Linked DNA regions of Diceros bicornis minor. The protein of the gene in region 1 binds, or shares a complex with, the protein of each later gene. Links are inferred from orthologs where the notes say so. Each region holds a gene or a part of one and is shown in the gene's direction. Other genes may lie near its edges.

Region 1 (6,431 bases):
TGTGCTCCGAGCACTGAGGGAGCTCTGACAGCCCTGTGTTCTTCAGAGGAACTAAAGGAAACCGGGTCGGGCCTAGGAACCTCCACTGAGCCCACGACTGGGGGTGCTTGTCTGCTGTCCTGTACCTTTTTTAACCAAAATAAAGATTTCCCTCTTCTTGCCATACCCTTGGCTGTCTGGTGCCACCTTTACTTTGGGCCCAGGGGTGGGGCCTGTGATGAGGGTGCAGAAGAACATCTGGCTCACCCTCACTGCCAGCTTTGTTCCAGCTGGTCAGTGCTGTTCTGAAGATTTAAAAAAAAGATGCATGACAAAGCCAGAGGTGACACAGGAGGAGTGGCCAGCGTCCTCTTCACTCTGCCCCTCCAGAACTGGTCTCAGTTCCAGAGACCTTCAGGCCTTAGCTGACCTCTGAACTCTCTCAGGTCCCAGCCCAGGCTGGGAGAGAGGGTTTAACTCCAGGCTAGGACTGTCACACCCCTGAACTGAGCCCAGCCCAGGGTAACAATCTCATGGAAACCTTCCCTCTCCCCGGCTGCCACCGCACATGGAGATACGCAGAGTGCTAAGAGCTAAAAAATCATCATAGTGGCCATTTAGCAAGGTCTGGCCAAGTGCCAGGCCCATTTTCTCACCTAAACCTGTGAGGAAGGTGATGTCAGCCTTTTTACAGATGAGGGAACTGAGGCTCAAGGAGGGCGCAGGAATTGCTCCAGGTCTCCCAGCCGAGAGAGCAGCAGGATTTGAACCTGATCTCTGCCCTGGCCTCTGACCCTTCTGCATTACCCAAGGAATGAATACAGCTGCTTCAGGACGAGGGGCTCTCAGAGGGAGAAACCCTAAGGTTAGAGAATGTCCTTCATAGGCAGCAGGGGCTTAGACAAGATCTGTGCTAGCCTCCTTGTTGTAGTGATGGGAAACTGAGGCCCAGAAGCAGGAAGGGACCTGCCCAAGGCCTGATAACAGAGCTGCCATGCAGTCTCAGCCTGACATTCCATTCTCTTTCCAAAAATTCCACAATATGTCCTAGACCAGACTGGTCTAGGAGATGTAGGATACTCAAAACAGCAGTGCCTTGAGGGGAATAAGACTCAGGATAGCTGAATCACTTAAAAGTAGTCTAATATCCCCTCCCAAAGGTAATTAGTAGAGTGAGCTCTTAGCTGGATAATTGAACCCTTGTTCACAACTAACCAGGGGGAGAAGGTGCCATAGCTTCCTCCAGTCACCTGTTTAATTTGATCATTCCAAGACTGAAAAATTTCCTAGGAAGTTCTTTCTGGAATCTAACCAGAGTCCCTGCTGCTACAGTCAGAGCCCTGTCCTCTGTTCTCAGGGGAGATAGATAGCAACTGGTTGCTGTCTTCTCTGTGCCACAACCATTCTAAGCCTGTTATTACCAGTCAAGAAGGATTGGTTGGGGGCCGGCCCAGTGGCATAGCAGTTAAGTTCTTGCATTCTGCTTTGGTGGCCTGGGGTTCGCTGGTTCTGATCCTGGGCGTGGACCTACTCACTGCTCATCAAGCCATGTTGAGGCGGTGTCCCGTATAGAAGAGCTACAACTCCACAACTATGATATACAACTATGTACTGGGGCTTTGGGGAGAAAAAAAGAAAAAGAGGAAGATTGGCAACAGATGGTAGCACAGGGCCAATCGTCCTCAAAAAAAAAAAAAACGACAGATTGGTTGTCTATGGGACCAGAGGCCTTGCGCTTCCTGGTAGGATGGATGTTATAGAGAAGGGTAGGGAGGTCGCAGGCAGGATAAGGAAAGCCCCTGTGGGCTGCAGCCCCAGCTCCTGTCCTGCTGACTCAGGCAGCTGACTCTGGAACTCTGTGCCCTGCCAGGGCCTGCTGCCTCCTGCCTGCCTGGTCTCCTGGGCTTGGGAAATGGAGGCCTGGAGGCAAAGGGAGGTGCCTGAGACAGGAACTGAGTCAGGATCGACAGGCCAGAGCTGGTAGGAGGTGTCAGGCAGCCTGGCTCCCAGATTCACCCCTGAGCTTCTGCAGGGGAGAGAGCGGAGGGAAGGGGCTTCTTTTCTGTTGCTCAGGGCTGTGCTGAGGGCATGGAGCTCGTGGCGTGAACTACCACCAGGTCTCCTGCCTTGAGTGGTAGGAAGAGAATGCAACCTAGAGACAGAAGCAACTCCAAAATTCCTGGGCCTGCCAGACCCTGCCCTCTAGGTTTCTGGTATCCTGGGATCTCCAGCTTTCTCCCAGGACTTGGGAAAGCCTGGGCTGGGTGACTAGTACAAAGGAAGGTCCTTGAGGGCCCTGGGCCTGCATAGGTCAGAGGAATGTCTGAGAGACAGGGAGGAGACAGTGCTGAGTGAGCGCATCTGACTGTTCATTCATCTTCTCGCCCCTGTGGAAACCCAGCTGGGCAGGGTCTGGGCTTTGGCTGAGGCCTACCCAGCTCCATGTTAGTGCTCTGAGTGCATGTGTTTAAACCAGTAAAGTTGGTTGGATTTTTTTCACATGATAATAATAGTTCCCATCCACTCTAAGTGCTTTCCATCAACTTATTTAATCCTCACAACAAGCCCTATTTTACACTTAAGAAAACTGAGACTCACAGAGCTTAAGTCACTTGGCCAAGGCCACAAGAACTTGTAAGAATTGAACCCAGGCAATCTGACTCCAAAGATACTTGGCTATTTTGTCTCTCAGAAAAATAATACATATTCACCCTTGATAACTTGAAGAGAATAGGAAAATCAAAAGGAAAAAAAAATCATAGTCTCACTATGTGGAAATATGCTCTGTGAGTTGGTTATTTTAGTGTACTTCCTTTCCATCATTTTCTGTGACAGTGATCTGATTTGAGCAAAGCCTTTGGGGTGTCAAGCCTAAAATCCCTTCTGCTTCCTTGGAAAAGCTGTAGCATCAGCCCAGAAATGTCCCTACTTTTCCTTCAAAGAGGCAGATCTCATCTTTGGGCCTGAGTTCTGGCCTAAGCCTCCCTCCAGGAGGGGAGGGTGGGTGTTCAGACACCAAGAGCAACCCAGGGAGGGACAGGCCTGTGAAATGGTCCTGGCTCCAGGATTAAGCTGGCTGGATCCAGTGAGGTGAGCCCCACCCCTGAGCCCCATCTGAGCTTTGGCTAGGGGTGGGGCAGATAAGCAGGAACCCACTCTCATAGGTGCAGTACCACCACCTTCGGGTGAAACTCCGCTGACAGGAGGACAGCGCCCCAGCGATCAGGGACAGATGGTTGGCAACAGAGAAGTTTCCATCTCTGAGGCCTCTGCCAGGGGTCAGAGGTGGGGTCATGGTCAAAGGGAAGGGACAGGGAAACTTGTGAGAGGCAGGCCGTAGGAGACAGCACTCAGCTGGGACTGCTGCCCCATAAAACAAAATGGTATGTGTCACCGCCACCTCCTTTTCCTCAGTCCTGTCTTTCTCCTCAGGTTGCTCGTGTCCCCCCTGGGGAACCAAACTGGGCTGAGCACCCAGGTGGCCTGCTTTCAGCCTCTGACAGAGGGCCGGCTGAGTCAGGCAGGAAAGTGGGACAGCCAGCAAGCCGGGCCCCCACCCTCTGTGAGCCCCACTGATACATGATGGCAGGCAGCTTGAAGCGGGCAGGTGACCAGGCGTGGAGAGCTAGAGGATAAGTCCTCAAACAAGTGGCAACAGGCCACCAACTTGAAAGGGAAAATTGTGCTGTGCTGCGATGGGGAAGGTGTCCAACAAACCTACTGGGTGACTAATTACAAAGGCTGGGCTGGAGCGTCAGAGGCCGCTCGTTAAACTCCTCATTAAGTGGCACCCAGAAGCTGCCACCTGCGCAGTCTGGGAGCTCAGAAGGGACAGGACCCTGAGGGGGAGTAAGGACTGGGGGATGGAACCATTTTAGGTAGACTCTGAAGAAGCTTGGATTTCACTTCTAAATCCAGCCTGGAGCTCACAAATCAGAGACCTCGATGGGAGAGAGACCAAAGGAAGTAGGATGCAGGGGAACTTTAGCTGTATGACCTTGAGCAAATCTCATCCCTCTCTGAGCCTTAGTATTCCCATCTCTAAAGTGGGGGTAGTAGCCACAGTCCAGCCCACCTCACAGGGATGTAGTAGGGATTAAATTAGATCATGGATACGAAAGTGCTTGGGAAACTGTACAGCCCTGCCTAAACATAAATTAGCTCACCTGGACCAAGCAGGGAAACGTACATGGCAGGATTAGGAACCCATCCTCCTGCACCTGGCTTTATGGGCTCTGCCTAGGCTGAAGCAGCCAGGTGGCTGAAGCCATCCTTAGCCCCTGGAAGGACACCGTGAAGGAGGATCTGATTTGAGAAACTGGCGCAGCTGCCTAACGTGGGCACCCATGTAATAGAAGCCCTGAACAAGAGGGGGCAGCCTGGAGCCTGGAAAGGTGCCTGTGCAGGTGGGGCCAACGCCCAGATTTCTCCTGCTGACTGTCCTGATGACTCACCCCCACATCCCAGCCCTTTTACCTTTAAGGAAGAGCCGGAAAGGGTGTGGGGAGAAGAGGCGAGGGAGGCAGGTCCTGGGCCCCAGTCCCGCCCTCTGCCCCTCCCCACCCTTCTGTGGGCCAGGCCATCCAGCCAAAAGGCAGGCAGAGAGCAAGAGAGGCACAGAGTCCGGCATTGGTCCCGAGGCAGCCAGTTAGCCCGCCGCCTGTCTGTCTGTCCCCAGAGCCATGCAGAGAGCCAGTCTGATCCAGAAGGCCAAGTTGGCAGAGCAGGCCGAACGCTATGAGGACATGGCAGCCTTCATGAAGAGCGCCGTGGAAAAGGGTGAGGAGCTATCCTGCGAAGAGCGAAACCTGCTCTCAGTGGCCTACAAGAATGTGGTGGGTGGCCAGAGGGCTGCCTGGAGAGTCCTGTCCAGTATCGAGCAGAAAGGCAATGAGGAGGGCTCGGAAGAGAAGGGCCCGGAGGTGCGAGAGTACCGGGAGAAGGTGGAGACCGAGCTCCGGGGCGTGTGTGACACCGTGCTGAGCCTGCTGGACACCCACCTCATCAAGAAGGCCGGTGATGCTGAAAGCCGGGTCTTCTACCTGAAAATGAAGGGCGACTACTACCGCTACCTGGCCGAGGTGGCCACCGGTGACAACAAGAAGCGCATCATTGACTCAGCCCGGTCGGCCTACCAGGAGGCCATGGACATCAGCAAGAAGGAGATGCCGCCCACCAACCCCATCCGTCTGGGCCTGGCCCTGAACTTTTCTGTCTTCCACTACGAGATCGCCAACAGCCCTGAGGAGGCCATCTCACTGGCCAAGACCACCTTCGACGAGGCCATGGCTGACCTGCACACCCTCAGCGAGGACTCCTACAAAGACAGCACCCTCATCATGCAGCTGCTGCGAGACAACCTGACACTGTGGACGGCCGACAACGCTGGGGAAGAGGGCGGCGAGGCTCCCGAGGAGCCCCAGAGCTGAGCCAAGCCTGCAACCCTCCCGGCCCTGCCCTGCCCTCTCCAGTCCCCCACCCCCCTGCAGAGAGGACTAGTATGGGGTGGGAGGCCCAACCCTTCTCCCCAAATGCTCTGCTCCAGCTCAGAAAGGCTCCATAGAGAGGGCTCAGCAGAGCTGAGGTCACCTGGAGCCAGAGGACCCCACTCTTCTTGCAGCTGTGGGGTGCTCCTAACCACTGGGCATCCCACCCACCTCTGCTCTCTGCACCCCCTTCCTCGAGACCTCCACCCGTGAACCGGGCCACTTCTTCCCGCCTCTTGACTCCCTCCTGCTCCTGCCGCGTCTGGATCTTAGGAATTGAGGAGTGTCCCACCCTTGTGGCTGAGAACTGGACTGTGTGGCAGAGGCTGGACATGGGTGTGTGCGTGTGTGACTGTGTGTGAGAGCGAGACTGAGAATGAGAGGGAAAGCATGTCTGCTGGGTATGACCATGTTTCCTTTCAATAAAGTTCCCCTGTGACACTCCTCCTGTCTTTTCCAGTTATTGGCAGAGGACTGGGACTGGGACTGGGATTGGTGTATGATTTACAAACCCTGACTTTGGACCTCTGATTCAGGGCCCTGACCTCCCATGAGGTTGGCTCAGTGACCCGCAGGTAAGACTCAGGGGCCAGGGACTCCAGGTGAGAGGTTGGGGGTCAAGCTCTCTCCATCAGGATGGTCTCAAGCCGACTGGTCTGGTCCCGGGAGGGTCGGGTGAGGCCCAAAGCGGCTCTAAGTCTCCTCCGAGCTGGGCGGAAAGCTGAAGAGCTCAGATCTGAGGGGACAGGAAACCAATGAAGTCTCAGGTGTGAGGTCTGAGGGCAGGGCCGCACGGACACGCTGTAGTGAGCAGCAGTGAGCACCCCAGAATTGAAAGCCGGGAATAGTCCCGTCAGGTGCTCAGATCCGAGCGGAGGGGAGTAGGCTCTGCGGCGGGGGTATGAAGCCGCCATTAAAAGCCCAGATCTGAGGAGGGGAACGCCCCCCCAGCGTTCGGAGCTGGGG
Region 2 (7,124 bases), on another chromosome or scaffold:
GAAGTGAAAGTGCCTGTTTAAAGCACAGTGAGGAGGCCAGTGTGGCACAATAGAGAGAAGGAGTAATAGGAGATGGGGTTAGAGAGGTGAACAGGGCAGAGGAGGGAGGGGCAGATGTGTGGGGCCTTGTAGACCCTGTAAGAAATTTAGCTTTACTCTGAGTCAGTGGAGAAATGATTGGAGAGTTTTGAGCAGAGGAGTGACGTGGTCTAACTCATATTTTAACAGACTCACTGTGGACACTATGTGGTGAAATTGCTGAGGGGAGTAAGGACAGCAGCAGGGAGGCAAGCTAGGCGATGCAAGAGATGATGGTGGCTTGGACTAGGGAATTAACAGTGGGGATGAGAAAAGATGAGATGTGGTCAGATTCTGGCTATATTTTGAAGGTAGAGCCAAGCAGATTGAAGACAGATTGGATGTAGAATATGAGAAAAAGTGAGGAGTCAGCAATGTCCCCAAAGATTGGAGCCTGAACAACTGAAGAATAGAATTGCAAAGCCCAATACTTTCAGGAGGGAGGAAGAGGTTTGGAGGGGAAGATCAAATCAGTTCTGGACGTGTTGAGTTTCAGGTATTCATTAGACACTGGAAGTACAAGTTTGCAGTTCTAAGATCTAGAAACACAAATTTGGGAGTCATCAGCACAAAGATAGTCTCCATAGGTAACGTTTAAATCTGGTGGGAACCATGAGACTGGATGAGATCACCTATCAACAGATAAAAAATGGAAGTGGTCCAGGGATTGAGCCATGGACACTGCAGTGGTAAGAAGTTGGAGAGATGAGGAGTAACCAGCAGGGAAGCACTATATATTCACAAATAATCTCTCAGGGTGGGTCATTCTTGTGTATTTCTACATCTACCATGGACTATTACCTTCTTTGTGTTTGGTCACATCATCAGGGCCCAGCTCAGAGAGGGATCTTCTTAAGGTCAAAAGTCTCCATGACTAAAGTGTAAATGATTGACAGGTTTATCTTTCTCAGGAGATATAAAATGAAAGAAAAGTCAGTTGAGTAAACCAAACCTCTATTTGATGGGATGTTGCAAGGAAAGAGGTCATTTTACACCAGAGAAAACTTTTTGTGTCCCTAGCATCTGCAGCTCACTATAGTGATGATGGTACTACCCTCATCAGTATTAACCATTGGGAAGCCACTGGGAAAGAGAATCAAGCTCTTGGGGAAGCATCAGCACTCTTTTGGGCTGTAAGGTCCTAGAGGCCAGGGAATGCATGGGGCCCAAGCACAACTCATAATGCCTGAGCAGGTGCACACTGCCTTCTGTTAGGCAGGGAGAAGGCAAGAAGCGGGCTGTGTACCTTCCTGACACTGTCTTTAAACTTAGCTTCTGCCCCACCGCACTCCTGGTTCCCCTTCCACCCAATCACTCCTTTTCTGTCTCTATTACCATTTCCTCTTCTTTCTCTCAAGTTCTAGCCTAATGCCCCAGCCTCCTTTTCCACAAAAAGTGTGAGGTCAAGAACATGGCAGAAATGGAGAGTTTAGTTCTTTCCTCTCAGGTCAACGTGGTTCCACGAGCAGCCTGGTATCTCTTTCTATTTTCCTTTCACTTCTCATCCCCCCACCCAGTTAGCAAACCAGAGAGTGCAAAAGCAGGAACTTTTCACACTAGGTCTCTTCTGCCCAGATCTCTACACCCACAGCTGTCTCCTCAGCTAAGAAAGGTGATAGGAAAATGACAATGACACCAATAGGACAATGGGACAGAATCATGGACAGGCAACTCATGATAGAAGAAACATGAATAGCCATTCAACAGATGAAAATAATGTTAACCCTACAACAAAACGCAATTTAAAACAACAATGAGATACCATTTTACCTATCAAGGAGGCAAGGATTCTAATTCCCAGGATTGACGAGAGTAAAGGCATGCGCAGACACTACTGCCAGGAGTGTAAAGTCCTGCACTGCTCTCTGAAGAATGACTTGGCAACACTAAGGTGCCGAAAGCTTTAAGAATAAGTCTATCCTTTGACTCTTTGATTCAGTGGTTTCTCTTCTAAAAATTTAGCCCGAGGAAATAATTAGACAACCATGTAAATATGTATGTTCGAGAATATTCATTGCAGCATAGTTGATCATATTTTTAAAGATTGAGATCCACCTAAATGCCCTACAATAGGAAATTGGTTTCAATTAACTGGGGTTCACCATACAGTGGAATACTAGTCAACCATGAAGAATGATGTTGCCTCATGTGTCTCCTGCTATGATGCATTGAGAAGGACAGAACATCACGTCTCTGGTATTCCTGGCCAAAAATGCATAAACTGAAGAAACATCAGACCTACCTAAATTTAGGATAGTCTACAAAAGAACTGACCTGTATTCTTCAAAAATGTCAATATAATGAAAGACAAAGTAAGTCTAAGGAGCTTATTAAAGGAAACTGAAAACATGACAACTAAATGCAATGTGTGATCCTGGATTAGATCCTAGACCAAGAAAAAAAAATCATTATAAAGGACATTATGAGGCAATTGGCAAATTTTGAATATAGACTGTAGATTAGGTAATAGTATTGTATCAATCTAAGTTTCCTGATTTTGATAGTTGTACTGTGGTTATGTAAAAGAATGTTCTTGGGGCCAGCCCCGTGGCATAGTGGTTTCAGTTCAGCCCACTCTGCTTCAGCAGCCTGAGGTTGGCAGGGTTCAGATCCCAGGCATGGACCTACACCATTCATCAGCCATGCTGAGGCATATAAAGTGGAGGAAGATTGGCACAGATGTTAGCTCAGGGCTAATCTTCCTCAAGCAACAAAAAAAAGAGGAAGATTGGCAACAGATGTTAGCTCAGGGCTAATCTTCCTCAGCAAAAAAAAAAAAAGTTCTTGTTCTCAAGAAATTCACACTGATATGTTTACCAATAAAGGGACGTCTTATGTGCAATTTACTCTCAAATGGTTCAGAAAAAAATACGAATGTGTATTTAGAGAAATAATGATGAAGCAAATGTGGTCAAATGATATCAATTGGTGAATCGGAGTGAAGAGTATCCTGGGATTATTTTTAGTGTTCTTGCCCCTTTTCTGTGAGTCTAAAATTATTTCGAAATAAAAAGTTTAAAAATAAAAATAAAATACAAAAAAGAATGGTGCTGGCAAAGTATATTTGTCGGCAGGGGAAGGTGCTCAGGATACACCAGGCTGTGGCTGTGGGTGCGTCAATGCTGGGGCTGTGCACAGCTGCTGCTGACACCTCCAGCCACCCTGGACTCTCAGTTGTCTGTGCTACTAGAGGAACTCAGTGTGAGGCTGACCCCAGAGCTGTCCTGGCTTCACTCAAGAAGGTAGGATGAGTCAGGGCAATGAATTCTCTTTTGTGATTTTATTTACTCCAGTTTTGAATTCAATGACTGGCATTCCTTGCATCTCAGGGACCTCTGCGGTGGAGGGAGGGAGACATGCGGGGAGGACAACCTACCCAAATGCAGTGTTTGCTACAGATCATCCAGACTGCAAAGTTCAGTGTAGACAATGTTCATTTATCATTGATGATGATCATATACATTCCCCTCAGAGAGAAGGCCAAGATTTCCCCCAAAACCAGCCCAGCGTCTTACCCATTCCCTAAAAGGAGAAAACTAAGTCCCCAGCAAGGGCCAAGGCAAAGCCCAGAAGTCCCCTGGGTTCCCTCTGCCAAGATCAGTGGTTTCAATTTAGGGAAAGTTGCAGATTCTCTAAGAAGCGTCTGTACTGACCTCACAAAACAAGCATCCTCTCCTGGGAAGAGGAATAGGAAGTCTCTCGTCACCCCACACCTCTGTTTCCAGGTCCTGACCCTCCTGGGGTATGGGGCAGCCACCTTGCAATTCCCTTGTCTAGAAAGGAGAGACCACATCAACAAGCAGAAGGGCTGAGACTGTCCCCAGAGCCCCCACCAGCCCAGTTCTCCCCTCCTATCACCTGCCCTCCAGCCACACTGTGCTACTCCCCCCCCACCTCCCCAGGGGTTGTCAGGGACAGAAAGCCCCTCCCTCATCCCCCTCAATGTTCCTCCACTCCTCCCCCCATTACTAGGGTGTCCAGGACATTGTGTGACTCAGGAAACAGCTCAGACGTGAGGCTTGCAGCAGGCCGAGGAGGAGGAAGAAGGGGCCGTGGGAGCAGAGGAGGAGGCTCCTGCCTCAGTGAGGGCTCTGAGGGTCCCTGCATGAGGAGGCAGAGAAGATCTGGGCTAGGGGCAGGGGCTCGGGAATGCAGCCCCCTTCACTGCTGCTGCTGCTTCTGTTGCTGTGTCGCTCAGTCGCCAAGGCAAGAGGTGAGGCATGGGGTGGGAGAGGTGGGGAGACCCAACTTCCCCAGGAGGATGTCCAGTGGTTTGGGGGCAGAGGGCCAAGTTCCATGTTTTGAGGCAACACTGGATGGAGGAGATTCTCATCCCCCAAATGGAGACAGCCTGCAGGAAGAGACGGCTCTGCTGCTGGAGTTGCACAAACCAAGGTTTTGGGCCTGGTGCCAGGGGTGGTGACTGTTGGGGGGATGGGCAAGAGGGTGCCCACCTCCAGGGAGAACCCAGTGGGCCTGGAGCTGGGGGACAGCAGGCTCTTGCAATCACGTTTAGGAGGGGAAGAGGAAAAAGACTGACCACCTGCTAGGGGAAGAGGTGAGAGGGGAGCAGGAAATGGAGACAAGGGAAGGTCAACAGCCCACCAAGTCCCTTTCCTGGTCCAGCTGTCCCCACCCCCCAGACGGCTCAATGCTGGGCCCTTCCGAGAGGAAATCCCTTCAATTTCTCAGCCAGTCAACTCCCAGGAGTCTCCTCAGCCCCCCTCCTAATCCTTGTTGTCTTGCTTCCGAGGGATGGAGCCTGAGGCTGGACTTGGGAGGCCAGAGAATAAACAGGAAAGAGGGGTGGGGATCAGTAACTGAGAGGCCTGGGATCTAGGGCCTGGGGTGTGAGCGCCACGTGGGGACTAGGAAGAAGGGTGTGGAGCGATGGTGGTTTGGAGCACGTGTGTGGGGCTGCTGCAAGCAGGTCCCTCCAGAGCACCCAGAGGAGTGAAGGTGGAGCACAATGCTCCCTGCTCCCATCTCATCCCCATCTCCACCCCTAGGGCTGCAGTGTGGGAGTTTCCCAGAACCCTGTGCCAACGGAGGCACCTGCCTGAGCCTATTTCAGGGGCAAGGGACCTGCCAGTGAGTGTGCCTCATGGGAGTAGGAGACTGGAGAGAAAGGGGGAGGGAGGCCAGGGGAGGAAATGGGAAGAAAGGAAAAAGGGAGGAGGTGGCAAAGATGAAGGGAAACAAATGAAGGCAAAGGAGGGAGGTGGGAGAAAAGGCGAAGTGGAGCCAGTGATGTGAGTTTTCCTCTCTCCTCCCCTGCCCAGGTGTGCGCCTGGCTTCCTGGGTGAGACATGCGAGTTTCCCGACCCCTGCCAGGATGCTCAGCTCTGCCAGAATGGGGGCAGCTGCAAAGCCCTGCTTCCCACCCTCCCAGGCTCCCCCAGCGCTCCCTCTCCCTCGGCCCCCAGCTTCTTCTGCACCTGCCCCTTTGGCTTCACTGGCGAGAGGTGCCAGGCCCAGCTCAAGGACCCCTGTTCTTCCTTCTGTTCCAAAATGGGCCGCTGCCACATCCAGGCCTCAGGCCTCCCACAGTGCTTCTGCCAGCCTGGGTGGACAGGTGAGCACTGAAGGGGTGAGGAGGAGGGGACAGGCAGGAGCAATACGCTGGGCTGTGGGTTAGGAAAGATGAAACTGGAGCCTGTGAGACTGAGACCCTTTGAGGACAGAAGCCATGAGAATCAAGAAGCTGATCCTTGGCGACCCATCTACCCAGGACTGACGTTCACCAGCATGGTTGTACTGATTGTTAAAATGTTAGAGTATTTCCAAACCAGTTGGTAAATTGCTACTGCCATAGCCTCCTTAGTATACCGCCCTGACCCCTTTCCCAGCCCCTCAAACTCCTTGCCACCCAGTAGCTAGGGAGTTAATGCCTGGCACACCAGGGGTCTCTACATTCTGAGCATCTGAATGGCCTCTGTTTTGAGTGCTAGGAGCCCATAATATCACCTGGGAAGACTGCGGTGCTGGCAGATGTGATGGGGGGAGGGATCTGACCCAAAGAGAAGAAAGGGTGCCCATCTCAGGAGGAGGGGTTCAGCCCTGGGACAAGAGATCAGGACATGTGATGGGCAGGGCATGCTACCCTGAGGAAGCGGTCAGGGATGCAGTGAGGCCCTGGAGAGGAAGGCTCGATAGGACCGGACCAGGATGGAGAGGGCTGGACTAGACAGCCACATGGGTAAGAAAGTGCTTGGAATGTGGGTGCCTCTGTGAGGCTTCTCAAACTTGCCTAGGCACAGCCATCACCTGGAAAGCCTTAAAAATACTGGTGCCTCCATCTCAGAGACTCTGATTTAGTGGGTCTGGGGTGGGCTAAGGACATGGAGACTTTTTTAACTGCCAGGTAATTCTGAGGTAACCAGGCCTGAGACTGCGTGTGAGAGAGTGTGTGTGACAAGAAGAAGGATGGGCAATGGCAACTTTCCAGGCCTTGTGCTTCAGAGTAGGGGCCCTGGGGCAGCCTCCTCCCTGACTCCAGTGCCAGCTCTGCCACTGACTAGACATGTGACCTTGCATAACATATTTAAGCTCTCTGGGTCCCCGGTTGTCAGTTGACATCCACACTTCATACGGCTGTTGAGAGGAGGGCAGGGGGTGATGCTCAGGAAGTGCTCACTTAGCTCAGTCCCTGATACACAGCTTGTGTGTAGCAAATGGTGGCGGCGCCCCTCGCCACCGCTACTGCCCTTCCTACTAGTGCCTTTCCCACTGGTGCACACGGTGGTGAAGTGAGTCTCCTTATCATTATCCGGACCATGACATCCACCTAAAGATCAGGAAATCAGGATGAGAGAGGCCAGACCACTGCCCAAGGGCACACAACCAGTTGTGGCACAGCAAGATGCTAACTAAGTCTCCCGCCTACAGAGATCGGATGCTTTTCACCCCCCACCAAGGTCACCACAGAAGGGACCCTGTGTCCCAGATTTTTCCAGGCAGGGCCCATTTGCCGTACTCCCACCAACAGCTACATGTCCTATTTTCAGTTTGGAAAATATGGTTACTCCAGATATAACCCTCCCAAG
Region 3 (6,847 bases), on another chromosome or scaffold:
CTTGGTTTCTCCCCCATCATGAGGTGAACAGTAAAAGGAACGCACACATTTTGCTCACCTGCAGAAAGGTCCCACCCCTGAGACAGTCTGAATGTGACACCGTCCCCAACCATTCAGGATGGAGAGTGATTCCCAAAGTGAGGCAGCTATACGATGATTTTAGGGGCCACCTAGATGAACAGCTTTTATTTATTTTTCATTTTATTTATTTATTTATTTTTTGAGGAAGATTGGCCCTGAGCTAACATCTGTTGCCAATCTTCCTCTTTTCTGTCTTTTTTCTTCCCAAAGCCCCAGTACATAGTTGTATATCTAGTTGTAGGTCCTTCTAGTTCTTCTTTGTGGAACACCACCTCAGCGAGGCTTGATGAGCGGTAAGTAGGTCCGTGCCAGGATCCGAACCAGAGAACCCCAGGCCGCCGAAGCAGAATGCACAAACTTAACTGCTACGCCACTGGCCCAGCCCTAGCTTTTAAATCGACAGTCATGAATTGAAATGTGTGTTGGAAGAAATATAACAACACATCCAACCAAAATTTCATGGTCATTTTTGCTCAGAAGGAGAGTAAGCGGTGAATTGCTTTAAAGAAAAATATTAAGTGAATAATGTACAGCAGGATCACAGAGATGGCAAAACTCACAAAGGTGGTTTGTGTGTACAGTCTGGGAGCCCAAGAAGGTGAGGTATGGAGGGGAAACCTGTCCCGAGGAAAGAGTCTGAATTGCGCTGAATCCCATCTTTACCTGCTGTCTGTCATCTTTTTACTGACGCGTCCATCCCACAAGCGTGTGTTGCCCCCCTGCTGTGTACTAGGTCCTTGCCTGGTGTGGAGGGTGCTATCCCCATGGCGCAGAGTCTTGGGGGCACTGGGAGGGTTGTCCTGGGAAGTGAGCCTCCAGGACGAGTGGGTGGTAGGTGAGGGAGAGACAGAAGCTTTCCAGCCCCAAGGAGCAGCTTGGGGGTGGGGAGGGCTGGAAGAGGGAAGAGCATGGTGGGCTTGAGGAACCTAAAGAGGCCAGTGGGGCAGAGCACAGAGGGCGACAGAGGGAGAGGGCTTGAGATGAGATCAGAATCACTGGGGCTAGATTGGGCTGGATCTATAAGCAATGGGAAAGATGGTGGATGCTGTCATTCATTTAGCCAACATTCATTGCGTTCCTGCCCTGTGCTAGTCATGGAGGGGTATGCAAAGTCGCAGAGCCTTCCCTCTAGGCACCTAGGCCTGGTGGCAGGCTTTTGAACACGTGGATGGACTTTTCATAAGTGCCGTGTCAGAGGTATAAACAAGAGGCCAAGGGAGCACAGAGGGGAGAGGGCTGCCATGTATGAGAAGGCAGTGACATTTGAGCTGGGTTTTGAAGAATGAGTAGGAGTTTAACAGGAGGAAAAGGAAAGGTGGCAGTGAAAACAAGGTGAGTAAAGGCACAGAGGCGTGAAAAAGCCCAGAGGGTCTGGGGAAATGCCGGCAGCTGGAGCCAGAGGGTCAAGTACGCAGAGGTTTTCAGGCTCAAGCCAGAGCTGAGGTTTCGTTCCACAGTGAGGAAGCTGGCAGTGAGGAGCTAGAGACCCAGGTTAGAGCAGCAGAGGAAGATCCCTCTGCCAAGGGGTGTGGTGAGCTTGGGTGACAGGGGAGGACAGCGCTGTCACCACTGCCCAGTGGGGTGTGAAGATGGCCAGGCCTGGGCCACGGCAGGGGCTGGAGGAGGGGACCCTTTGCAGTGTTACAGAAGATGGGGACTGCAGAACATGCCCTCTCTGTGCCCCCGGCCTGGGCTGGCATGGTGCCCGGAACAGCGACCTCTCCTTACAGGGCAGTGGGCTGCCTGCTGCCCTGACTTCGAAGACCAGAGGCCTTTTCCAAAAGAGTAAAGATTCCAGCCAGCTGGGCCCGTGGTCTGTGTCCAAAGCAAACAGGAAGAGACCACAGTGGGCAGGCAGGGCCTCTTTCTTTGTTTGGAGAAGGGATTAGGCCAAGCGGGCTTGTGGATCTTCCTGCTGCAGAGACAGGAGGGGCTGCAGGCCAGTCAGGGACCGAGCGAAACTCGGTGCAGGGGGCGCATGGCCCTGGGTGCCAGCCTACAGGGCACCGTAAAGATGGCCTCCCTTGGCAAATTCTGGCCTTGACGGAGGGAGACTGGGAGCACGTGCTACGGCACCTTGGGTGCCACCGTTCCCTCTCACTGTGCCCAGGCTGGAGCCCTCTCCCGCGCACTCGGCTTCCTGCTGGTGCCCCTTGGCCGTCAGCCCGGGAAGTCCGTGCTGCCCAGACCGGGGCCCCGTGGCGGGTTTCTAGAGAGAAGGAGGGAAATGCCAAGGGCTCAGAGCACCCTCAGTCTGAAGGATGGGCACCCAGGATTGCCCTGAGGCACGCACTCAGGCCCTGGCCTCCCTGGCTGGAGGACAGGCGGCCGTCTTTCCCTCTTGCAGCTGTGCCTGAATGAATTAATCTGTGCATCCGCTCAGTTCATGCCTGTGTTCATTCACCAAGCCCTCACACAGGCTCAGGATGGCAGGCCCAAGCTGGGGCAGGGAGCAGCAGATGAACGAGGTCCTTCACAGCTGACAAGCTGATGGAGCGGTCAGATGTGAGCCCTGAGATGCAGCTGCCCCTAACAGGAGTCCTACCTGTCTGCAGGGGTTGGAGGAGGGCTCAGAGAAGCGGGCAGACAGTTCTCCCAGGGCAAGAGTGGGGGCGGGGACAGGGGCGGAGGTGGGCTAGAAAGACTTCAATGAGAAGTGACTCCTGAACGGACTCATTCATTTATCATTCACCCATTCACCCGTGTGTGCGTTCACTCAACAGATATGTATTGAGCACCTACTGGGTGCCAGGTCCTGTGCCAAGTGCTGGTGAGCAGATACAGCTGAGGACCTGCTTTTCTGGGGCCTGCAGTTGGTGGGGAGACAGTCAGGACTCAAGTCATCACCACACAGACCAAATGGAAAATTACGCTGAGTTATTGGGCTTTGAAGAAGAGGTTTGTGGTGCTGATGGAGCTAATGACCTGGTCAGGGAGGTCGAGGCCTCCTCTCTGAGAAAGACTTGAAGGATGAATAGGAATTAACTAGGGCAAGAAGGGAGAGAAGATGATCCAGGCAGAGGGAACAGCAGGTGCAAAGGTCCTGTGATGGAATGACTGGATGAAGGCCAGAGTGGCTGGGGTACCGTGACAGAGGGGAGCGTGGTGAAAATGAGGCTGGGAAGTGGGCGGGCTGATAGCACCTGAACTTGTGGGTCCTTTTAGAATATTTGGTCTGGATTCTACGAGCAAAAGGAAGGTTTTAAGCGGTGGTCAAAATGATCCTGGTTGTGTGGTGAATAGTTTTGAGGGGGCGCGAGTGGAGGGGGGTGTTGATGAGGGTACAGCAGTGTCCACATAAACAGTGGAGGGGCTTTGACCAAGGACATGGCGAGATCAGGGGATGGGGGAGTTGGATGTGGGGTGAGGGTCAGGCTGTGTCAAGGTCTAGGAAACTGAGCTGGTGGATGGGAAGGGTGACAATGAACATCGTTTTCCTGTACGAATGTATTTTATTGAGTGTGATAAGTAATATCTTCATTTCTACCAAGGAGAGGAAAAGAGGCAGCGGTTGCACTGTGAGCAAGGGATGATGTTTAGTTTCTACTGTGTGGTATTTAATATGTCTTCTCAGTAAATCTTTTCAACACACCCCAGAGGTAAACACGATTGTTTATTTACGAGGAAAGAGGTTGCAGAAAGGTAAAGTTACCTGCCCAAGGTCACGGCTGGGAAGAGGTTAATCCTCCACCAGCCTCCTCTCTTAAAAAAAAAAAAAAAAAGGCAAAACAACTTCTTTGATTCTATGATTCTATTCAGTGAGCTGATAATTGAGCAAACAGTTTCTGTCAAGAAGGGGAAGGGAGGGACCCTGGGAGGACCCCCTGCTCTGGAAGAGTGCACGGGAGGCTGGGACCGCGTCGCCTAGGAGCCCCAGGCGTCCTTCCAGAATCCAGCCACGGGGTGACCCAGCGTGTTCTTGACCCAAACCAGAAAACAACCCTTCCCTTCTCTGCATCTTTCACCTCTTGCTCCTGAGAAGTCCTTCCCTGACTCTAACCTTGATCTTCCTGCTTCTGTCCCCACTGTCTCAGCTCGCAGGCAGATCAACGCCACCTGGCTGCTCCCTCTACCTGCTGGGCCCGCAGCCTGCTCCCTGCCCTTCAGCCCTCGGGCAGACTCCTAGGCAGCCGGCAGCCTGTAACCAGACGCTGTTTGCTCCCAGCAGGCTCCCTGAGCCTCACTCCGCACACTGTTCCTGGGTCTCCTCTCCCCAGCCTGGGTGGAGTGTTCCCCTGCCCAGTCCAGTGACCTTCGCCTGTCTGAGCCCTGGTTAATTTTTGCCCAGTCTTCAGGCTGTGGGGCTCCTCCCCTCGGGGATATAAGCCTGGCCCAAGGCTGCCCCGTTCCCTACCTGTCCTGAACCTCCCCAAGCTCCCTCCCCACCCTCACCATGGCCAAGGGCTTCTACATTTCCAAGACCCTGGGCATCCTGGGCGTCGTCCTGGGCGTGGCAGCCGTGTGCACCATCATTGCTCTGTCGGTGGTGTACTCCCAGGAGAAGAATAAGAATGCTGGCAGCTCCGCTGCAGCCACCACGAGCCACACTACCAGTCCCACCACCACTGCAGCCACCACCTTGGACCAAAGTGAGCCATGGAACCAATACCGCCTACCCACGACACTGGTGCCCGAGTCCTACAGGGTGAAGCTGAGGCCCTACCTCACCCCCAACGAGCAGGGCCTGTACGTCTTCCAGGGCACAAGCACTGTCCGCTTCACCTGCAAGGAGGCCACCGACGTCATCATCATCCACAGCAAGCAGCTCAACTACACCCTCACTCAGGGGCACATGGTGGTCCTGCGCGGCGTGGGCGACGCCCAGCCCCCTGAGATCGACAGAACTGAGCTGGTGGAGCTCACCCAGTACCTGGTGGTGCACCTCAAGGGCACGCTGGCGGAGGGCAGCCTGTACGAGATGGACAGTGAGTTTGAGGGGGAGCTGGCCGATGACCTGGCAGGCTTCTACCGCAGCGAGTACACAGAAGGCAACGTCAAAAAGTGAGTTGGAGCTGGATCTGCTCGGTGGGGGTGGATCCCAGACGCTGAAGCAGAGCCGGAGCCTGAGGGTCAAGGAAAGGCTTAGATTCGAGACCTTTGAACTTTCTGGAGCCCTTGGCTGGCCATTCCATCTGCAGGCTCAGAGGAGAGAAATTTGTCTTCCAGCTAATACGGGGATAGAGCCTGCCAGGACTTTGACCCTGAATCCAGAGGAGCTCTGATCCCCCATAGCCAGCGGGCGTGTCAGGGCATGAGGCTGCCCAGGGGAGGTGGGGAGGGCAGAGTTAGGCCTTCCGTGCACCCCTTCCTCTGCATGCCCAGCAACACCCTAAAACTCCCAGCCTGCCCACCCCCCTGGGGTGCAAGCATTCTGCCGGCACAGCCCCTAACACCCTGGTTTGGGCAGGGTGCTGGCCACGACACAGATGCAGGCTGCAGATGCCCGGAAATCCTTCCCGTGCTTCGACGAGCCATCCATGAAGGCCCAGTTTAACATCACCCTCATCCACCCCAAAGACCTCACAGCCCTGTCCAACATGCTGCCCAAAAGTGAGCGAGTCTGTCCTGGGGCCACACAGCCTGGGGAGGCCGGGACCTGGGGCTGGAGTGCAGGATGCGGGGGGAGGCGGGGTACATCCCCACATACTTGGATGCTCCATGCCCAGGTCCTAGTGTCTCCTTTTCGGAAGACCCTGACTGGAACATTACCGAGTTTGAAAGCACGCCCGTAATGTCCACGTATCTGCTGGCCTTCATCGTGTGCGAGTTCTCGTATGTGGACTCGAGGTCACCCAATGACGTCCTGGTACGGAGCTGGGCCCGCCAGTCCTTCCCTGGGATTGGTCCTGGCCTGAGGGGTATTCCTGTTGATCCTCATCCCTGAATCCCAGCTCTGAGTGATCTTGGGCATGCGTCTTAAGTTCTCTGACCCTCAGTCTCTGCATCTGAAAAATGGGTCCCACCTCCTGAAGGGAGTTCCCAACTCCTGGGTGCCAGACACATGGTGGCTATGACTACTGTTATTCCCCAAAGGCTCCTCCCTATGACTCGAAGCCCCTCAGAGACCCCCAGCTCTCTCTTCTGCTGACCAGGCCTCTGGGTTTAACCTAGTTGCTCCCCCTACCAGCCTGCTGGGCCCTGGGGCTCAGCCCATCTGCACCAGGAGCCTAGAGGGACCCCTGACCTACCTCCATCCTCTTTGCAGATCCGGATCTGGGCTCGGCCTAGTGCAATTGCGGAGGGCCATGGCGATTATGCCCTGAACGTGACAGGCCCCATCCTGAACTTCTTCGCCTCACATTATAATACATCCTACCCACTTGACAAATCCGGTGAGTGAGGGGCCTTGTGCGGTGAGGGGCAGTGGGTGGGGCTCCATAGCTAGAGGCCATCCTGCCAATGGCTGGTATCCCCAGACCAGGTCGCCTTGCCCGACTTCAACGCCGGCGCCATGGAGAACTGGGGGCTGGTGACCTACCGGGAGAGTGCTCTGCTGTTCGACCTGCTGTCCTCCTCCATCAGCAACAAGGAGCGAGTGGTCACTGTGATTGCTCATGAGCTGGCGCACCAGGTAGCCGCCCCATCGTGGGGGGAGTCCAGAGAAAGACACAGAGGGCCCTGGGAGGAGATTGCACAAGTCCTGGCTCTGCGCTTGGCAGCTGAGAAGGGAGGAGGGTCCCACCTGGCAGGGTAGCAGTCACCATGATGTCGGTGAAGTCCCCAGCCCGGGAATGGTGGCCCTGGGTACTGTTAATGACTGTAAGGC
Region 4 (7,443 bases), on another chromosome or scaffold:
TATTGTGGTAAAATACACATAACAAAATTCACTATTTTAACCATTTTAACCGTACAATTCAGTGGCATTAAGTACATTCAAAATGTTGTACAACCATCACCACTATCTATTTCCAGAACTTTTTTATCATCTGAAACAGAAAGTGTGCTCATTAAACAAATTCCCCACTCCTCCCTCCCCTTAGGCCCTGATAATCACTATGCTACTTTCTGTCTCTATGAATTTGCCTATTCTAGGTATTTCATATAAGTGGAATTATACAATATTTGTCCATTTGTGGACAAATGGCTTCTTTCAGTTAGCATAATGTTTTTAAGGGAGACATTGATTTTTTTGATTGACTTTTTTGTTGTTGTTTTTAGAGCACAGACATTGATTTTTATTGTATGTTAAAGGAAGAATTGCACTTTATTGAAAAAAAGCCAAACAGGACAGATAGTTTAGGATGGAGACTCTTGACTTCTAACCTTAAAATGATCATTATATCCATTATCAATATATGGAGGTTCTTTTTTGTTTTTTTTGTGAGGAAGATCAGCCCTGAACTAACATCCACGCTAATCCTCCTCTTTTTTTGCTGAGGAAGACCAGCCCTGAGCTAATGTCTATTGCCAATCCTCCTCCTTTTTTTCCCTTTTTCTCCCCAAGGCCCCAGTAGGTAGTTGTATGTCATAGTTGCACATCCTTCTAGTTGCTGTATGTGGGACGTGGCCTCAGCATGGCCGGAGAAGCGGTGCGCCGCTGCGCACCCAGGATCCGAACCCGGGCCGCCAGTAGAGGAGCGCGGGCACTCAACTGCTAAACCATGAGGCCGGCCCCCTGGGGAGGTTCTTAATGCACTTAGGCAACCCAGTGTCTTTACACAGGTGTTTTACAGCTAGTGGTTAATTCTCCTGGTATACCCCAGAGGCTTCTCCATATTTTACAGTCAGGATATGAAGACACAGGGATGCTGTGGGGATTAGTTAAATGTGTGTGGCATACTTTGCTGTATAAACTCACTCTCTGGAACTAGTTTTCACTCCCTGCTCTCAACTTCCACGGCTTTTACTGTCAATCCCATTCATTTAGCACTTAGCATGCGCTTGTTAGTTGTCTTTTTCTGTATATGCCCTTGAAGGCAGGAGTCAAGTCTCATCCCTCTTTGTTTTTACAGTCCCGTCCATAATAGCAGCTCTATCAATGTTTGTTGATGTTGGCCTCCCCCTCCCCCTTCCTTTGAAGCAGAGTTGGCAAAGCATAGCTTTAAATTCAAACTCAGTTTAAACAAACTGCAGGGTTTTCAGGGTAAAAACAAAAGGAAGTCTTGCGTGGCAGGAGAGAAGGAACACCTAAGACGCTTAGAAGACCTGGGCAAAGCTGAGGTACCAAAAAACCTGTTGTTTGCCACAGGCTAAGTGACCCACATGCAGCCTGGTCCACCATTAAATTCAGAGCTGTGGTCGCTCTACTCTATCAAAATTCAAATTTGGAGAACAGTAGTGACCAAGGCAGGATTTGAGGAGGGGGTATTAAAGGAATTAGTGTTTTAGGGGTTTCCACTGTATGAAGGCCCTAGTAGCTGTGGGGAAGGCAGGTTGGAAAAGTCTTTTGAAGGCAACTGCAAGGCTGGGGGCAAGCATTCTACAAACACAGCCGCTGGGCCTTTGCTACTAGGATTTGTTTCCCAGCATCTTCTGTAATGGCAAAAGATGGGAAATGGCCTAAATCACCTTTCACTAAGAGAATGAGTAAAAGAATTTTGGCACATCTAAGCAATGGAACACTGAGCTATCATGAAATAGAATGAGGTAAAGGAAGTTATCCTGAGATGGAAGGATATTTAAGAGACATGGTTGAGTAAAGAAAAGCAAGGTGTGCTGTGATTGATGATCCCACTTGTAAGGGGCAAAAATGGAATATATACATGTATGCAAATAATATATTTTGAAGATTGCGTACAGGCATAGAGAGAAAGGGAGAAAGGGACTACGAGAACGGAGTGATGGAGAGGAACTCTTCACTGTGCTCCTTTCAGTACTGTTTTAATTTTATCCTGTGCACATTTTACTTTCTCCATTTTAACAGCATTGTTAATTTTAACAAGTATCATGTTGCCATTGTGATCAGTAGTAGTCTGCAGCCTATACCCATCCTATCTAGCTCTGCTGTCCACCCCTCCAAATAACAAGGCTGGAATAATCTTCCCTTGCTTCACAAACCAAGTGTCTCCGTGTCTTTAACACTCAAAAATCTCACCTTCCCCATGAAAAATCACCCAAATAACTTCACCTCACACATAAGCTGAATCATTCCGAGAATCCATTTTGCCCACGCTCCTGCTTCTGAATCTTTCAGCCGCCCCAGCAGAGCACTCTGCACATTGGGGCTACCCCCCAACACGCCAGTGGCCCACTACTTTTCCTGCACCTGGTTATATTCCGAGACCCTGTTCATGCTGAGATAGTGTTTCTTTTGAGCACACTTCCTCTTGCATGCCTTGATCCATGGACCCTCAGAAGGCTCCTGTTAAGCAGGCTTGAATTGAATGTCACTTTTTCATTGGCCTGAGTTCATTATAATAGCTCTGCCTTGTCAAGGCCTTTACATTTACACTTGCTTCCTCCTTGTAACGTTTTCTAGGAAATATGGATCTGTAGAGAATGGTGGTTTCCATGGTAAATGTTCCCTCATATTTGTTTTCTCAAGTTCACTTCGGAGACACAGCACGATTTCCTCTTTCAGTACCAGCACCACAATAGATTTAGGTTGTGGCGCCACTGCAGAACTGTTTAAAAAAGAAATCTCACCCACCCTGGTTAGAAAAGGGGTAATTTATTCTTCTAACTGCAGGCAGCCAACTTCATATCCACCCCCAAAACTGTAGGAAAAGAGTTGACTTATTAAAGCCACAAAACCTATACACCTTGGATGTAAATGCTTAAAACAGATAAGGAGAATATTTGATTCTCAAACACATGAGACTCTCCACCATGTGACATACACAAGTAGGAACACATACATGTGTGGAGTGCTTTGTGGTTCACAGAGTGTTCACACACAATTCATTTTATTTTCATATACCAGTGTCATTAAGTTAATAGGGCATGCTTATAGCCTTTATTTACAGATAGGAAAACTAAGGCTCAGAGAAGTTAAGCGACTCAACAGAAGTCTCACAACTAGCTGATAAGTGCTCCAGTCTGAAATGAGTTCTTCCTTTAGCTCCAAATTTCATGTTACTCTGCTACCCCTACACTGTTTCTCTGTGCTTTCGTTTCCCAGATGTAAAATGGTAGATTTTCAGTGTCCCAGGATGCTGTTCTCAACCCTCTGTGTTCTTAAGCAGTATCAATTTTTCGCAGCCAGGAAATGTGAACACCACATTGATACTTTACGTACTTCTTCCCCCTCCTGGCCTAATGAATTAAGGGGGGGAAGAAAAGTTACCTATTCTCAGAGGGCCGGATAGTGCCATAAGGGTGTACGGGAGCCAGCCGACACACTGTCGCACTCTTAGGAGACTAAAAAACCGAGCGTCTCATCTTTCTCTTCTCGGCAGTACCTTGGGGGAGAATGGAGAGCTAGACAATAGCCTCTTGTTTAGTTTTATTAATTTTGAGGGCGGGTGGAACAAAAGGAGCCGAACGACGACGCACGTGACCAATCGCAAGCGATTCCTAGACCAGGATTCGCCAACTGGTAGCTGCCAAAGAAAGATGGGTGGGATTTACTCTTCTAGGCCCGCTCCGCCCAGGCCGGCCCCCCCCAGCCCGCCCAAGAGGCGGAGGCTCCGCAGAGCCCCGCCCACGCCACCTCCGCCGCCAGCGCGGCCCGCCACAGGGAGGGGGGTGGGGACGCGGGGGGAGGGGGGAGGAAGAGGGAGGCTAGGGGGAACCGAGGAAGAAAGGAGGGTGTCTCGCAGAGCTATGACCTGGGTGGGGGCCTGCTGGTAATAGGAAGCAAGAGGGGAAGGAAAACCAAGGAGCGCTGCTCCTTCCTGCATTATTTTAAGCAGGCTTTGCTAGAAGCTGCTTTTCAGCATTTCTATTATTTGTTTTTCTTCCTCCCGCTGTGGGGCGGGGAGCTGCATTGGCTCTCCCTCCGCTCTGCTGTTGCCATAGATTATTATTTGTAGTCTTTGCAAAACCCTTCCCTTCCTCCTAGCCAGTCCCTGCGTAGACTCTCATTGCTACTTTAACCGAGTCGTGCCACGTTAGTAATAGGACCAGAGCGAGGTCCCCCCGTTTTCGTCCGAGCGACCGCACTCCGCCGCTCAATTGTTTGAAACTTCCACGCCCCCTGGCCCCGCCTCTCTTCCATCCCCCCTCTTACCCAGGGCCCAGGCAGGCTCCTTCCCTTCTTTCCCCGCCCTCAGCTCCGCCTCCCTCCCTAGTCCACCCCCTCTCCCCGCTCCTGGGCGGTCCTAGCCGCTCACCGCAAGAAGAAAAGCCACCCATTCGTCCCCCTCCCCTACCTCCCATCCTTTGCCCAGGAGCTGCCTTCATCGCAGTCACGCCCCTTCCTTCCGAGGAGCTTTCTGGCTGCCCAAGCTGGAGACCCCCTGATTTATTCCTCCATCTCTGCTCTCTTTCGCCTCATCTTCTCTTAGTTCTCACCTCCCCCTCCACCCCCACCTCCAGTCTGTCTCGCCTCCGACCATCCGCTGCTCCACCCTCCGGCCCGGTATCCTGCCTGTCCGCTGCCACCAAGAAGAGCCCGGACGGAGCAGTGAGGAGGGGAGCAGCCGGGAGTTGGGGCTTCTCCCCTGCCCATCCCTGGCCTCCGGCCCGGGCCCGAAGCCGCTTGAGCGAGCGGAGAGTCGTCACCTTGTCTTCGTTGCCTTCAGGGGTAGGAGACGCGTGGTTACTTTTCGCGGGGAACTGGGGCAGGAATCCATGGTGGCGTGAACTTGATCATGCCCTCGGCGTGAGTGAGTCGATCTAGATGCGTGTGGGGATGTCCCTGTGTTGTACTTTCTTTGCAGCTGGTCTTGAGTTTTCTGGGATGTGCAGCAAGTTAAATTGGTTAAAGAGTGTGTACTCCTTTTCTGTCCTACGGAGATGCTAGTGGGTACCACTACTTGATGGTACGTTTACATCTTCCCTCCTGGAGTCCTTGTAGATCTCTAGGTAATTAAGCACAAAAGGAATTAAAGACCCGAGGGAACTTGAGGTCTACATTTAGCTCAGCAGGAATGTCCTTGCTTATCTCCAATTGCTAGATGCGTTCCTCCTAAATGCTTAGGATTGGGGTGGGGGCTCACACTCCCCTCCCCCGGGGCCCGTGAATTCTTGAAGTCTTAAAGTCTGAGAGTAATCTACAGCGTTACACTCTTTTTGGTGGTGTGTTTGTGTGTGTGTGTGTGTGTGTGTGTGGTGATGTGGAGGCATTTGTCCCTTTTCTGGTTTATAGATGTTAATAACTAGTTTTGCGGGATCATGCACACGTCTGGAGGGTCCCAAGCCTGGGTCACTGTATGTAGGTGCTTCAGCAGCAAGATAACTTGTCAATATATGAAAATGAAGAGAAGGCAAAGTGAGAGAGGGAAAGTGACAGTCTTTGTAGACTGTGAGCAGTCCCTGGTAAATTGACATTAATAATAATATAATAATAATTTGCAGCAAGGGACTAAATACAATTAAATGAGAGAGGAAAGGGAAAGTTTGTGAGAAACAGCATTTCCAATCTTTAGCATGTATTTTAGAATTTTCTGACACCTTGAAGTGTTCAACTTAGTTCTCCCCCTCCCCCCATGAAGAGTAGAAGTTGGGAGGCAGTTGAAAACTTTTTTTTAATGTAACTCTCTTCTCTCATTCAGAGAGGAATTAGTCACCATAATCTTCAATAATGGAGGGCTAAGGGTATTTAAGTCTCCTTGAACTAGGCTTTGTGAAAAGTCCTTTCTTTGGCCAGCTTTTGTGAAGCCTTCTTGGTTAGACCTTTCAGCACCCTCATTTAGTAGCTAAGAATAGTTTGAAACACTATTTTGGACTCGGGATAAATCTTCACTCATCTCCCACCTATCTCCAATTGGGCAAGCATGGCAAACTTATAAGAACAGTGGTGTTCAAAGACCTGTTACCAAGATGTCCCCCATCCATTGCTTATTTGGAAACAAATTATTTACTTATATTTTTAAATAAGTTTGTTGATTGATTTTAATGGGGGAAAGGAAAGCAGAAAGGGAGAAAAGGAACGTTACAGGGTGACAATTTTAAAGGCTATCGTGTTTCAGATCAGCTGGGAGGGAAAAGTTGTCCTGACCAAACTACATTTTATAACTGGCCTGGGACATTTTAATAGCCAGGTGGTTGTAGAGTAGTTGCATCTATTTACAGATGATAACTCAGGTTCCAGCTATTCTGTATGGATTTATCTGGTGTCATTTACCAACACTTTCTGGCACTACATCATACTTAATTTTAAGATACTTCTTTCTTGGGAAAAGTCTATGGCTCCTTAAAATTGAAAGTGCTTTTTCTAACTTCATAGTCTCGATATGAAGTAAAGCTCTGACCATGCTCGTGTGTAGAGTAACTTGTACGTGAAAGTTGTGGATCTGTTTACTTATTTAAAATATTTTAGAAGGGAATTTTAAAATTCATATTCAATACTGTTTTGGATTTGGAAATTGAAATCTCATTGCTGGTTTATGAAGTAGGAGTTATTAGACTAGTGCATAACCAAGGCATTTTGTGGAGTTGCTTTTTCTGAAGTTTTATAAAGAACGGATCAGACTCTTTCTAGAATGCCTTAAGAACAGTCTATTCAGAAAGCAGAGGGATGGATGCTATGACCTTGAGGTCCCATTGAGTGCCAGAATTCTAAGTGGGTACATCTGCTTCTATGCCTCTCCTAAGAGCCCTCTCCCAGGGCCTGCGCCTTCTTTAAAAGGGTGTCTTTGTAATTAAGCAGCCCTTCTCCCCCATCCCCCTTTCTTCCTTTGATCCAGCTTTTTAAGGCCTTTTTTACATTTGGAGACAAGAGGAGTTTCTCACACTCTCCTACTCCCCTCTTAAGGTTTCTTTTCCTTTCCCCCTCAAAAAAGTCCCCTGAAGTTCTCAGGATGGTTAGAACTTGTTCTGTTTTGTTGGGGAGGGGGTGTTACCAACAAGGAGGAGTAGAGGATATAGTCCCTCTTGGGAAATGCTTGTGACCAGGTAGCCTCCTCCATGGAGACTGAGCATTTGGAATGCATGAGAACAGTCTATTCTTGGGGACTGTCTGGAAGAAATTGTCCTTTGCACCCATTAAGCCCAGCTTAAACACACTGAAAGGGGTGGAGAGAGGTGTGTGTGGTCGTGGCTGAGCCTTTTAGGATAGTAAATGGGTAAATGTTCCCAAATCTTCTATTACATCACCTCTTTCCCCCATGGATTCAGTGGGTTTGGAGATCTGCTTGACAAGTTAATTAGCTTGGGCCTAAACCAATTTGTTTAGAATTGTGCTCCATTGATTTCC

What was found.
Region 2: the proteins of SFN (region 1) and NOTCH4 are in contact, whole or in part, in a crystal structure (PDB 7OR3), measured with the Homo sapiens proteins. The link is inferred for Diceros bicornis minor from reciprocal best matches to the Homo sapiens genes SFN and NOTCH4. Residues at the interface, in NP_006133.1 of Homo sapiens: Lys49, Arg56, Arg60, Lys122, Arg129, Tyr130, Glu133, Gly171, Leu174, Asn175, Val178, Glu182, Leu218, Gln221, Leu222, Asp225, Asn226, Leu229, Trp230; in NP_004548.3 of Homo sapiens: Arg1914, Arg1915, Phe1916, Ser1917, Ala1918, Gly1919, Arg1921.
Region 3: the proteins of SFN (region 1) and ANPEP are in contact, whole or in part, in a crystal structure (PDB 7AEW), measured with the Homo sapiens proteins. The link is inferred for Diceros bicornis minor from reciprocal best matches to the Homo sapiens genes SFN and ANPEP. Residues at the interface, in NP_006133.1 of Homo sapiens: Asn42, Ser45, Val46, Lys49, Arg56, Lys122, Arg129, Tyr130, Gly171, Leu174, Asn175, Val178, Glu182, Leu222, Asn226, Leu229, Trp230; in NP_001141.2 of Homo sapiens: Ala60, Ser61, Ala62, Thr63, Thr64, Leu65, Asp66.
Region 4: the proteins of SFN (region 1) and AMOT are in contact, whole or in part, in a crystal structure (PDB 7NPB), measured with the Homo sapiens proteins. The link is inferred for Diceros bicornis minor from reciprocal best matches to the Homo sapiens genes SFN and AMOT. Residues at the interface, in NP_006133.1 of Homo sapiens: Val46, Lys49, Asn50, Arg56, Arg60, Lys122, Arg129, Tyr130, Gly171, Leu174, Asn175, Val178, Tyr181, Glu182, Asp215, Leu222, Asp225, Asn226, Leu229, Trp230; in NP_001106962.1 of Homo sapiens: Val171, Arg172, Ser173, Leu174, Ser175, Glu176, Arg177, Leu178, Met179.

What each region holds. Positions count from the first base shown.
Region 1 is NC_080752.1:42,625,637-42,632,067, forward strand, and holds SFN (14-3-3 protein sigma), read left to right. Parts: upstream 1-4,573; 5' UTR 4,574-4,661; coding exon 4,662-5,408; 3' UTR 5,409-5,909; downstream 5,910-6,431. UniProt on the Homo sapiens protein: Adapter protein implicated in the regulation of a large spectrum of both general and specialized signaling pathways. Binds to a large number of partners, usually by recognition of a phosphoserine or phosphothreonine motif.
Region 2 is NC_080753.1:32,672,608-32,679,731, forward strand, and holds the start of NOTCH4 (neurogenic locus notch homolog protein 4), read left to right. Parts: upstream 1-4,123; 5' UTR 4,124-4,227; coding exon 4,228-4,291; intron 4,292-5,087; coding exon 5,088-5,169; intron 5,170-5,360; coding exon 5,361-5,653; intron 5,654-7,124. UniProt on the Homo sapiens protein: Functions as a receptor for membrane-bound ligands Jagged1, Jagged2 and Delta1 to regulate cell-fate determination.
Region 3 is NC_080744.1:93,474,547-93,481,393, reverse strand, and holds the start of ANPEP (aminopeptidase N), read left to right. Parts: upstream 1-3,828; 5' UTR 3,829-4,474; coding exon 4,475-5,082; intron 5,083-5,488; coding exon 5,489-5,631; intron 5,632-5,747; coding exon 5,748-5,887; intron 5,888-6,286; coding exon 6,287-6,413; intron 6,414-6,497; coding exon 6,498-6,652; intron 6,653-6,847. UniProt on the Homo sapiens protein: Broad specificity aminopeptidase which plays a role in the final digestion of peptides generated from hydrolysis of proteins by gastric and pancreatic proteases.
Region 4 is NC_080781.1:104,579,364-104,586,806, reverse strand, and holds the start of AMOT (angiomotin), read left to right. Parts: upstream 1-4,440; 5' UTR 4,441-4,830; intron 4,831-7,443.